Schizosaccharomyces pombe: one gene and its partner. Changing the gene in region 1 together with any one later gene gives a genetic interaction. Each region holds a gene or a part of one and is shown on either strand. Other genes may lie near its edges. The genes, in order: ppk18 and igo1.

Evidence for each region.
Region 2: of ppk18 (region 1) and igo1, changing one suppresses a phenotype caused by changing the other (phenotypic suppression), as found in Schizosaccharomyces pombe (one study listed by BioGRID).

What each region holds. Positions count from the first base shown.
Region 1 is NC_003424.3:3,975,740-3,982,940, reverse strand, and holds ppk18 (serine/threonine protein kinase Ppk18), read left to right. Parts: upstream 1-2,085; 5' UTR 2,086-2,251; coding exon 2,252-2,382; exon of another isoform or gene 2,383-2,427; intron 2,428-2,745; coding exon 2,746-6,571; 3' UTR 6,572-6,689; downstream 6,690-7,201. Other genes in the region: SPOM_SPAPB18E9.04C (uncharacterized protein), read left to right, coding at 1-239; tRNA (guanine) methyltransferase Trm5, read right to left, coding at 6,862-6,927, 6,979-7,059, 7,109-7,201.
Region 2 is NC_003424.3:1,236,948-1,240,901, reverse strand, and holds igo1 (serine/threonine protein phosphatase inhibitor Igo1), read right to left. Parts: upstream 2,007-3,954; coding exon 1,923-2,006; intron 1,878-1,922; coding exon 1,794-1,877; exon of another isoform or gene 1,730-1,793; coding exon 1,478-1,729; 3' UTR 717-1,477; downstream 1-716. Other genes in the region: SPOM_SPAC10F6.17C (bifunctional phosphoprotein phospatase/[pyruvate dehydrogenase (acetyl-transferring)]-phosphatase), read left to right, coding at 1-581; SPOM_SPAC10F6.15 (uncharacterized protein), read right to left, coding at 3,937-3,954. UniProt on the Schizosaccharomyces pombe protein: Plays an essential role in initiation of the G0 program by preventing the degradation of specific nutrient-regulated mRNAs via the 5'-3' mRNA decay pathway.

The DNA of each region.
Region 1 (7,201 bases):
TTAAGACAGCTTCCACTTCTAGTGGCACTGAAATTAAAACGGCTTCCACTTCTAGCGGTAGCAGCTCGAGCTCGAGCTATACTCCTGCTTCGTCTACTTCTACTACTACTAGCAGTGTCAGTTCAAGGCAATCGTCAAGCAGCTCTTCATTCACTCCTTCTTCTGCCATTTCTACCGCAAAAAGCTCTTTCGTATTGAGTACGTTGTCAATTCTTATTGCGCTTTATATGGTCGCTTAGGTGATTGGTATGCGATGAAAATTTAACTTGTGGTTTGATGAAATATATCTGATGGTTTGTTGTTTGTATGATCGTGGTGACCGCTGAATAATATAAACTTCTCTATGTTCATTCGAATTATCGATTAGCTAAACTGAGCTCAAGGCTTTTTCATGTGCTTTTTTTGTTCTCGTTCACAGCGGTTATCGGTTATTTATTTTTTACGAGCATAACTGCATCTCAAGAATCTTTTATATTTCTGCCCGCTATGTTAGTAAAGCAGAGTATCTAAGAAACCTGACACTGTTATGGTCGTCTATTTTTTTGAATTCGTGATTCTTTAACATCTCGTAATTTCATTTCGAAATATAATGAATCTTTAGCTTATAAGAAAAGTCATGTGATTAATGTTTTCAAGTAAGTTGTAGCTAAGAATAACTAATATTGTATTGTGTAAGTTGTTAGATTATACAGTAATATTGCACTATTATGAATACGACAATGATGGAGACGTTAATTTCAAGTTGTTAAAGAAGAAGTTGGTGTAAGTTTTCCATGTGCTTGAATTATCGAGCAATTCCTAATTTAACCGTTTTCCACACCACTGTTCTTCCCATGCTAACCTAAAACTAATAAACAGTTGCCAGGGATGATAATATATTTTTTATTGCAAATTAGTATCAGCCGATGCGTTTTCTCTAAAAATGGGTTTTACCATGTATGCAATAAAATGATCAACTTGTGATGAGTGAGTTATTCTCCCTACCAAAATTTTCGTTACGATATGGAAAATTTAGAAAAAACATAGTAAAGGAAATCGTTTTGCTTTTCGAATGAATTTCGGGGGTTCAACTCTAAAATGGAACTTTTCTTTGTGGTAGTGTACACGCTATACACTCTTTTAGTCAACTGTCAAGTAATCGAATTTGGAAATATGATCTTAACATAGAGTATAATGTATTCTTTTAAGATATACGGAAATTTATTAGAACGCTGTGCATGAGAGCGTGGGAGTGTAAAATCCGGTACAGAAAACGGTTTCTCTGATGACCCATCCATTACCAATTTTATTCAGCAGGTACTAATGAAAAGCGACAGAAATTATGATTTTGGAAAAGAATAGCAGTTATGACCTACTTATCTATTAACAAATTGGTAACTCCTTATGCATCAATAATACATATGCATTCCTTACCAACACAGCTGTGAGCATATTGAATGATGGGGTGTCTAAACAAAGCAACTCGAATATCCTATTTTCAACACTATGAATGGGCGCATTCATCCCTATTCCAACAGATCTGTAAACATTAGCCTGTGAACAAATTAGTAGTGCGAATCGGAGGAATAGTTGGGCTGCAAGGAGGGTATCCCTGCTTTAAAGAGGGATTGAAGAAGAACAGGTTTTAATCCTAACTGCCAAAATATCAATCCTCCATCTATAATTGGTACTAAGCGGATTAAGCGCATACGTGCATGCGCGCAGTCGCACTTTTGTTTGAGACCTTTCCGCGCAAAATCATGTTACAGAAATGAAAGCAGAATAACACATCATGGAAGACATTTCCAAAAAAAATCCGCATTTCTACAGCTTGCATTACATTGTCTCGCTTTCCTTTCAATCACCAACCTTTTTTCATCTTGCAATGAAAATTCATAAACCGAAGTATAGCGATCAACGATATATAATTATATAATTATTGCCATCGAAATCGTTATTTAAGACATCGGCTCGCGATCTCTCCCCTTAGTGAATCCTGATCAAGGGATAAGTAAGCACAGGTATCAATCGTCCCAGGGTAACAATGATTAGCCTCTACGCACTGCTCACTCATATAAATATTGACACAGTCATCAAGAGCCACCCACGTTCATAAATTGGGTGTTTGATTAGAATATCAATTGGTTACCGTATTGTCTATGTTTTTTTAGTCGATAGATTGGGTTTTATGAAATAACGAAACGCTAATTGTATTCGAATGGTTTTACTTGTCGCACATTAGGATCAAAATCTGAATGGAGTTATAAAGTTAATGGTAATGCAAGAACGCAATTCCAACGAGGATAACAAAGTAAATCACGGAATAGACAACATTTATGTCTTGGAGTTAGATTTAGACGGATCTGTGCTGTTTGCAAGTACAAACTTCTCACAGATTACCGGGTAAGTGCAGTGGAATAGCGGGCGATGTTACGAAATTTCTCTGTGTTGTTGGCAGAAGGATACCATTGCTTGCTAGAATATTTATATTGTACATTTAATTTGTATCTTTCTTTTAACGATTCGGTTGGTATGACTTTGCAGATTACGCAAAAATAGCCATTGAATAAGGCTTCAATTGCCTTGATCTGTAAGTCATACGTATAATACTTAAATCTTCTATTTGCTGCCGACCTGTTTTAGTTCTTTTAAGCTGGATTGGCCAAGCTATGGCTGATACTCCTTGGGTCGCCTCTGTCCTTCAACTTTTGAAATCTTGCTCTTTTTCAATTTATTGCTAGGTCTTTTACTAACCAAGTTGCATAGAATTAGTTCGTTAGAACTTACTGGCAAACCTGCAGCTCTTCTGTCATCCGACCAGGAGATATTCAACGCAGCCATTGAACAGCTTCTTGACGATGACTCCCACAGTGTTAAAATTCATACCGTGATTTCGAAGCTGCCCTCCTTGGAGGAAAATGTCTTTGTTCAGGATGAGGAAATGGAGCTGCAATCAAAGTCTGTCGAATTGGATTGCGTTGGTGTCCTCATTCGTGATCCCTTAACCAGCCGACCCTCTCATACATTATGGGTTTTGCAACCTTTGAAGCCCACGCGAATCACTCGTCAGGAAATAGGCCAGCAACTCACAGAAACTCTAGGTTTTGGAGCTCAGTTACTGGCCCAACATCTTGAAAAGCTTCAAACCGTTCCTTCCACCGATAGTCTTCCTCCCTTTGAAACAGTACTTTGCAGGGTTTGCGATCATGAAATTCAAAATTGGTACTTTGAGCATCATACTGAACTTTGTCTTCTCATTCACCATGCTGAAGCACGTGCTCAAGAAGCAAATGACCTTCTTAACGAACAAAGAAATGCTTTACAAAGTTTGTTGGATTCTTTGGACGATCAGATAGAACCAGATGTATCATATTTGGGAGTTCCTCTCGCCGCCGTCCTTCCTTCCTCTATTACTTCCTCCGCGAAGTCGAATTCCCGGTCATCGTTGTCCCAAAAAATTAGAAATTACATTAGTAACATGCTGTTTGATGCCATAAGTTATACAGATAGTTGTTTAGCCATCCATTTACCTTTCATACCAGAATCCACTACCAGGGAAGACAATCAACCATTTAGTGAAATACGCTTATTATCACCAGCTAGTGAGGTTTTCAATGCAAAAACTCTTTCATGGTGCTTACCACATATTGATGACCCTGGGTTGCAATTGATGTTTGAAAACACGGATGCCTTAGTAAAAAAAAAGCTTGATGCCATTAATCGTCTCAGCAACATCATCTATTATTCTGAGCGTGTTCGTTGTGAAATTGAAGATCAAGTGCAGACCATTATTGAACAATCCATTCAAGTTGATGGTTATGACGAACCTCTCAGTACTACGACTCCTACACTTATTGAACCAATTCAAGAAACCCTTATGACACAATCTCCTATTATTGAATGCGAACCATTTAATACAGTTAAGCCTTCTGTTTCTCCTGAGGAAGTGCACGATATTTCACAGTTCAACCATAGGAATGATCCGCCGATTACTGCTGCTAGTGTTGATTCATCCAATTCTTTTTCAGTCCACCGTTCCTCTACAAATCACAGTAGTACTAATAGTGGATCTCCCAACCTAAGCCGTCGCAACAACCTTGCAATCCCCATTGCTTCTAGAAGAAAATCTGTGAGTGCAGTTAATACTTTATATGGAGTTGGTTCTTCCTATACCTCTGAAAGTTTTCCCTTTAGTAAACTTACTGTCCCAGTTGAGCGTAATTCTTTCCGTGAAACAGAGTCACCAAAACCATTTTTGAGTCGCCAGATTGGCATATCGACACTGTCATCCAACATTAGCAGTGGTAAAGGGACTCCTTCTATTCAAGATTACGAAATTATAAAGCCTATTAGTAAAGGAACCTTCGGCACTGTTTACCTTTCCCGTAAAAATACCACTGGGGAGATTTACGCCATTAAGGTCTTAAGAAAAGTTGACATGATTTCAAAAAATCAGGTCGCTAATGTGAAAGCTGAAAGGGCTGTGCTTATGGCGCAAGAAGAATCTGCATTTGTTGCAAAATTGTATTATGCCTTTCAAAGTAGGGATTACCTCTATCTTGTTATGGAATTCATGAATGGAGGGGATTGTGCATCCCTATTAAAATCGTTGTACACTATACCGGAATCGTGGGCAAAAATTTACATTGCTGAAGTTGCATTAGGTCTTGAGCATTTACATAGGCTTGGTATAATTCATCGTGACATTAAACCGGACAATATCCTTATGAGTATTACTGGACATCTGAAATTAGCGGATTTCGGCTTAAGTCAGTTAGGTTTAACTACACGGCAATTACGTTTACAAAAGGGTAAAAATAATATTTTGTCACCACCCAGCTTTCAATCTCCTACTGCGTTGGGTGATCCCGGTGATAATATTGCCAGTTCTCCCTTGATTTTACCTACCAGTGTTAGTGCTTTTTCGTATGATGAAAAATCGCAAAAGCAAAAAACAGAGTTGGCTACATTTACTACGTATAAAGAGGATGATACCACTACTACTACTCGTACGAGCATAGATAGCATCTCTAGTAAATATTTAGAAAGTCCAGTTGACTCTCAGAAAGTCAATCGGACTCCTAATTTACAATCGGTTCCTTTTTTTAGACAACCTGATGCTCCTAAAAGATTCGTTGGTACTCCTGACTATTTAGCACCTGAAACTCTTCGCGGAAGTACACAGGATGATATGGTTGATTGGTGGGCTCTTGGCTGTGTGTTGTTTGAGTTTCTGTTTGGTTATCCACCTTTTCACGCAGAGACCCCGGAAAAGGTATTTGAAAATATTTTGGCTAATAACATTGCATGGCCCGATTTAGAAATGTATCCTTGTTCCGAGGAAGCATTAGACTTGATTAATGGGTTTCTACAGCCAAATCCGGAGAGACGACTTGGGTTTTCGGATATTAATGAAATCAAAGAACATCCTTTTTTTAATGGGATTAATTGGGATGACATTTTTTCACACGAGGCTCCTTTTATACCTGCACCAGAAACCCCACTTGATACTGCATATTTTGATAGTCGTGGAGCTGGGGCTGCAGAATCTAACATGAGCTCATCTGTAAATAGCGGAGAGGAAGTTTCTAAGGATAATAATGTTTCTCAGGAAAGAGGTTCACAATTCCTTCGTTCATCTCATGGTCGCAGTCGTGAGAGAAGTACGTCAGCTCGTAGAAGCCGCCGATTTAGCGAAGCTAACTCAGAGTTTGACGAGTTTGGTCCCTTTTCTTATAAAAATTTAAGCGTTTTGGAAAGAGCTAATCGAAATGCTATTGAAAAAATAAGATCAGAAATAGCTGGCAAATTACATATATCCCCTCCGGATCCACACATTGGATACACCCCTGGTTCCGATATGCCTTCTGCAAAACTTTATGATCAGCAACTAACTTTAAGTCCCTCTTTAATGACAAACCAGGGCTCTAATTTTTCTTCCACTGATTCAACACCTAGGAAGTCCATTAACAGTTCTGATGTTGAATCTCGTTCTAAAACTGATGGCCCGAAGTCAATGCACGATTTGATTAAGCAACTGCATATGCGAAAGCATAGCTCTCATACGAATCAATCAACTGGTTCTTCTGAAAGTGATGATCTTTTTAATCTTGATCTTCCGATTTCGAATTTGGAAACTTCATATCCGTTTAAAATTGAGGAGGGTCAAGCATCTCCTTTGTCTTCTCCACTCTCAAAGACCCCTCCTTTTTTCTCTTCTTCAGTCCCCTTAAAGGCTTTGATATGTGTCAGCAAGCTGAATTTGTTTTCAGAGCTGATCAAGTTACTAAAATCATACAAGTTTCAAGTATCTATTGTTACCGATGAGGACAAAATGTTAAGAACTTTAATGGCTGATGAGAAGTTTTCGATCATATTTCTGCAATTAGATTTAACTCGTGTTTCTGGTGTTTCTATATTAAAGATTGTTCGATCAAGTAATTGTGCTAATCGAAATACGCCAGCTATAGCTTTGACACCTACCAGAATCGATATTAATGCTGCTATTCCTCGCATGTTTGATGGACGGTTATACTTGCCTATCAACGCGTTCCTTTTACGTGGTTATATAGCCCGGCTTTGCAATAAATGAGTTCAAACGTTTGTTAATCGTGATTGCTCATTTTTTGTTGTTACCATACTCTCTTTAATTTTTTCCTTTTTGTTTCTCGAATGTATAATAATTATAATAGTAATAATATTAATAACACTAATTTTTTTGAAAAAAGTTTACTTTTGTCAACTTACAAGACTTTTTTGGATTTATAACTTTTATTTTTACTGAGGTTTTTTCTACAGGATATGTAACAGTTAAAGTAATGAAAAAATAATAAGCCCAAAATAGCTCATCTTCTCCTGAACGACATTTCAATCCTATAAAGACTAACCTGAAACCGGTTTAGCAAATATTATAGAACCAGGTAACGTGAAAGTACAACAGTACATATCCTAGTTGTTTAGTTAGTTACATTAAAAGTGCTATATAAAGAAGGATATTACCTTGTTGGGAGCAACTTTTCGGACATAATAAAAGTCAACTTCTTCAGGAGAAAAACGATACCCCAACGAAGCGTATATCCGCTAAAAAAACTTGGTTAGTAAATTTTCATTTAAAGTAAGCATTTCATACATTTATAAGATCTTCCTCAGGATCGGGAAATCTACAAAAGCAGTGAACATGAACTTTTGGAAGAGAGCGGTCTTTAAACAAGTACTCCAATCC
Region 2 (3,954 bases), 2.7 Mb from region 1:
CTGGAATGAATCCTGATGAAGCATCTCGCTTGGAAGTTGAGCATCCAGGCGAAGAAGTCCTTCGTAATAACAGGATTCTTGGACGTCTTATGCCTTCAAGAGCCTTTGGCGACGCTCGTTACAAATGGTCCCAGGAAATTAGCGAGAGACTACACAGAGAATATTTTTCCGCTTCACCCATCCCTGTTAAAACTCCTCCATATGTTACTGCGGTCCCTGAAATTGAAAGTATCACCGTGAATCCAAAGAAGCATCGCTTTCTAATTATGGCTTCCGATGGCCTTTGGGACACTATGTCCAGTGAACAAGCAGTACAATTGGTCGGAGAATGGGCAGATACAGTTTTGGGTAAAACTACCAACGAAAAGAACACAACTCAGGATGACAAACAATCATGGTCGCTGTTTAAGAAAACATCAAAGGTCATTGATGATAATGCTGCCACGCACCTTATTCGACATTCTTTGGGTGGAAGCGACCAAAGAATATCTGCTTTATTAACCTTGACTTATCCAATTTCAAGAAGGTATCGTGACGACATAACTGTTACGGTGATCTTTTTCGACGAAAAAACTTTGTAGATACATACGATAAGGAATGCTATTTCACGCATAACTACTCTTATTCATGAGTAAAAAAAGCAAGAAAAGAAGGAATGCTTAACGACTAATTGAATAATCTGCCAAACACAAAAAAATTGGCACTACGAGAAAATATATATTAACACTTCATTTTTTTATTCCTATCACATTGACCAAGCTCAGTAAGATAAGCCACGCTAAAAAAAAAAGAAAAACAAAAGAAATACAGCAAATTTTTTTCGAAAGTAAAACCGTTGGAGACACCGTATCCACGTGGCGACGAATGGCAACAATTAAATTTTAGAATATGCTCATTTTGCTCTATAGAATGATAAAACGTTACATTGTAAATAAATGTAAAAAGAAAAATAAAGTAAGTAAAAACACTTGAAACTCACAAAAAGACGAGACGACAATAGTGCAATACGCAAGAGCGATGACGAGAACAATCATCAAACATTGGAATTAAACAATGCCATATAGCCAAAATCGTGACAAGTGTTCTGACAACAAAAAAACAAGTGAACCATATAAGAAATTACAAGATAGAACAACAGTTGATAAAGGAAAATGAAAAAAAGATTTAAAGTAAGAAACGAAGAAAAGGAATGCGCGATGCATTGAATAAAACAGAAGTGTTGTCCTCCATCAACTACGTAGAAAAGGGTAAGGAAGAGAAAAGGGAAGTATTAGAGTAGTAAGCGTTTTCATTTCGTAGACTTTTATCGTTATATATTTCTCATAACTCTTGACAGCTGAACAAACGCGTTCGTTCCATTTTGCCAGACCACAATTTTGCACACAGCATTTCCGCACACGACAAGCAATACCAAATTTTAAGAGCCAAGCCAAATTAAACCTCCAACCTTGTCGCAAAAATAGCAACGTGTATGACCTCAATTTTCATTGCTTTCCAAGTCGTGTCGCGTGACAGATTCCCTTCTGCTACTGGCACCACTAGGCGAGGACTCTGAGGGTCGTTTCGTGTGAAGAGACGGCTCTTTATTAGGAGACCCAGCACTGACAACACGGTGAGGAATTGTGTCAGGAGAGGGAATCTCCTTACCAATACAAGTGATACCTGAATCGGAGGCCTTTCCAGCTTTGTTTAAGGCATAGTCGCCTGAATCAAAGTATTTTCTACCTTGCTAAAAAGGGGTAGAGTTAGAATAAATATGACAATTTATCCAAAACACATCCATTCCTCCATACCTGTAATTTTTGAACTAATAGATCCTTTCGCTGAGGAAGTCGTCCATACAAACGGAAAAGCTTCTGTTCTTCTGGACTTAATTTCTATTTCAGTTAATAATCAATTTCAGCTGTACAATCTTAACTTACTGCAACGTCTACTTTCTGCTCTGAATTGCTAGAAGACATGGCGATTATGGTTGTTGACAACATCCATTTGCGCGTTCTTACCATATACCACACGGCCACTTGTCTACCGAAGCCTAAGATACCGCACTGTTAACGTATTAGGTATCATACGTAATTTTGTCGATACGTAAACACTCTAAAATTACTGGATTCCAACGAAATAGCGGCTGAATGAGCTAATCTACACTAAATGATCATTCATTGATTAAGTGGCATTTCTCATGAATGATGAAAAAGTAAAGTGGATAAGGTCGGTTTTATGCCAAATGTCATTTGTTTACTATTTACAAACAACTTGCTGCCTTTGCTATTGTGAGTGGAATCCTTGACGAAGACTTTGCATACTCGCTTGATTAACATGCTTTCTACCGACTCACTTGTTAACCCTACTTTCTTGCCAATAACCTATTCTTTCTAACCTTATCGGGCATTTTATCGCTGCGTCCAAAACTAATAAAAAAAAAATAAAATAATAAAATAATTATTATGAGCAAGGCCGATTTTTAACATGACGACAAGTTCCTTCCTATTGTTAGTCTAGGCAACCTATTTTTGGTGGCTGTAAAAAGTGTTGAATGTCCGACTCAACAGTCCCTTCCCAAAGTGTACAGATAGAAAGAAGAGCAGCAAGGGTAATAATGGGAGATGGGGTTTCTGCACAAATAGTTGAATTTCCATTTACCTAACTTGGAGATCAGAATAAGGACTAGAGAATGAAGTTGCTTCAAGGAGTCGGTTTATCTTGCTAATAGAAAAAGTACTTAGTTGCGAAAAGATTGCATCATGGCGATAACATCTCAAAAATCCGACATTTTCATTCTAATCGTGATACAGGTAGTAGTGATTTGAGGCAACTTTTAGTTGTGAATTGCTCATCCGTCTGAAGTGAAATTAGGAAGTCTTCTTGGCTTACGATTGTCATGTTAGCCTTAGTATTCGCAAAATTACTGTTACATGTGGAAATGACTAAATTTCTCATAGAATTACATATGCGTTCGCACTTTTAGCTAAGCGAGTGGCAGTCAATGAATGATATACATTTGGCATGTTAGCGGATGTGTCGCCTTCATGTTTGCATACTCAAATGTACAATAACGTATGTGCATACGGGAACAATAATTTGGTTATACGTGCATGATTGTTCTTATAGTTAGTTAGTTAGTTGAAGGAGAAACGTTTGGCGATGGACTTGGCTACAAAAAGTTATTGTACCGACCTGTCCAGCATTCATCATCAGTCCTTTGAGTGTACGATATTTGCGCATGGGCTTACTGATAGAGAATACTACCTACAAGTAGGTATTATATCTTTCATTAAAGACATAGTAAATATCTGTCATTTAAAACAGATATTTTGTATATCCTCTAGTACGTATTGTTACTTTACTGTAATTTGCAGTCGAAAAAATTAAGGAAATTGAACAACACAGTTCTAATGTATAAAAGTAAATATGGTGGAAAGTTTAAAGAATATTAAGGTTCGCTTAGTTTTCTGCTCAGCAGGCAACCGCAAAGCGAAAATAGGCATTGTTTTTATTCTTATACTTACAAAAGGAACGGAAACTGTAAAGAATACCGAGTAAGGTCAAGAATTTTTTGGTTTCTGTTTTTGTTTTCTTCGCTTTTACGTGATTTTAATTTAAACTTTTGTATATCATTTATAATTCAGTCATGTCATTCCCCAACCAAATACATAAGGTCAGGATGTGAGTGTAGTTCGGTAATAATGTGGGTAAAAAATCGTTTCGTTCCCGTTGTCACAAAACGATAATTCGGTCCACCGATTCACCATAGCTGGTCAACATAAATCATCTGCTTCGTTAGATTTTTTAGTAAAAGCAAACTCAATTCCTTTCGCATATAACTTTAGGCTCACCCATCAAGCTTGATGTTGGGTTCTTTTTTGTGAAAGATGTTTTCGGATTGGCGAATTCAGCCAACTCGAGATTTTCTTCGGAATTCTATCAATCCTCATCTCATTCAGCAGGTATAAT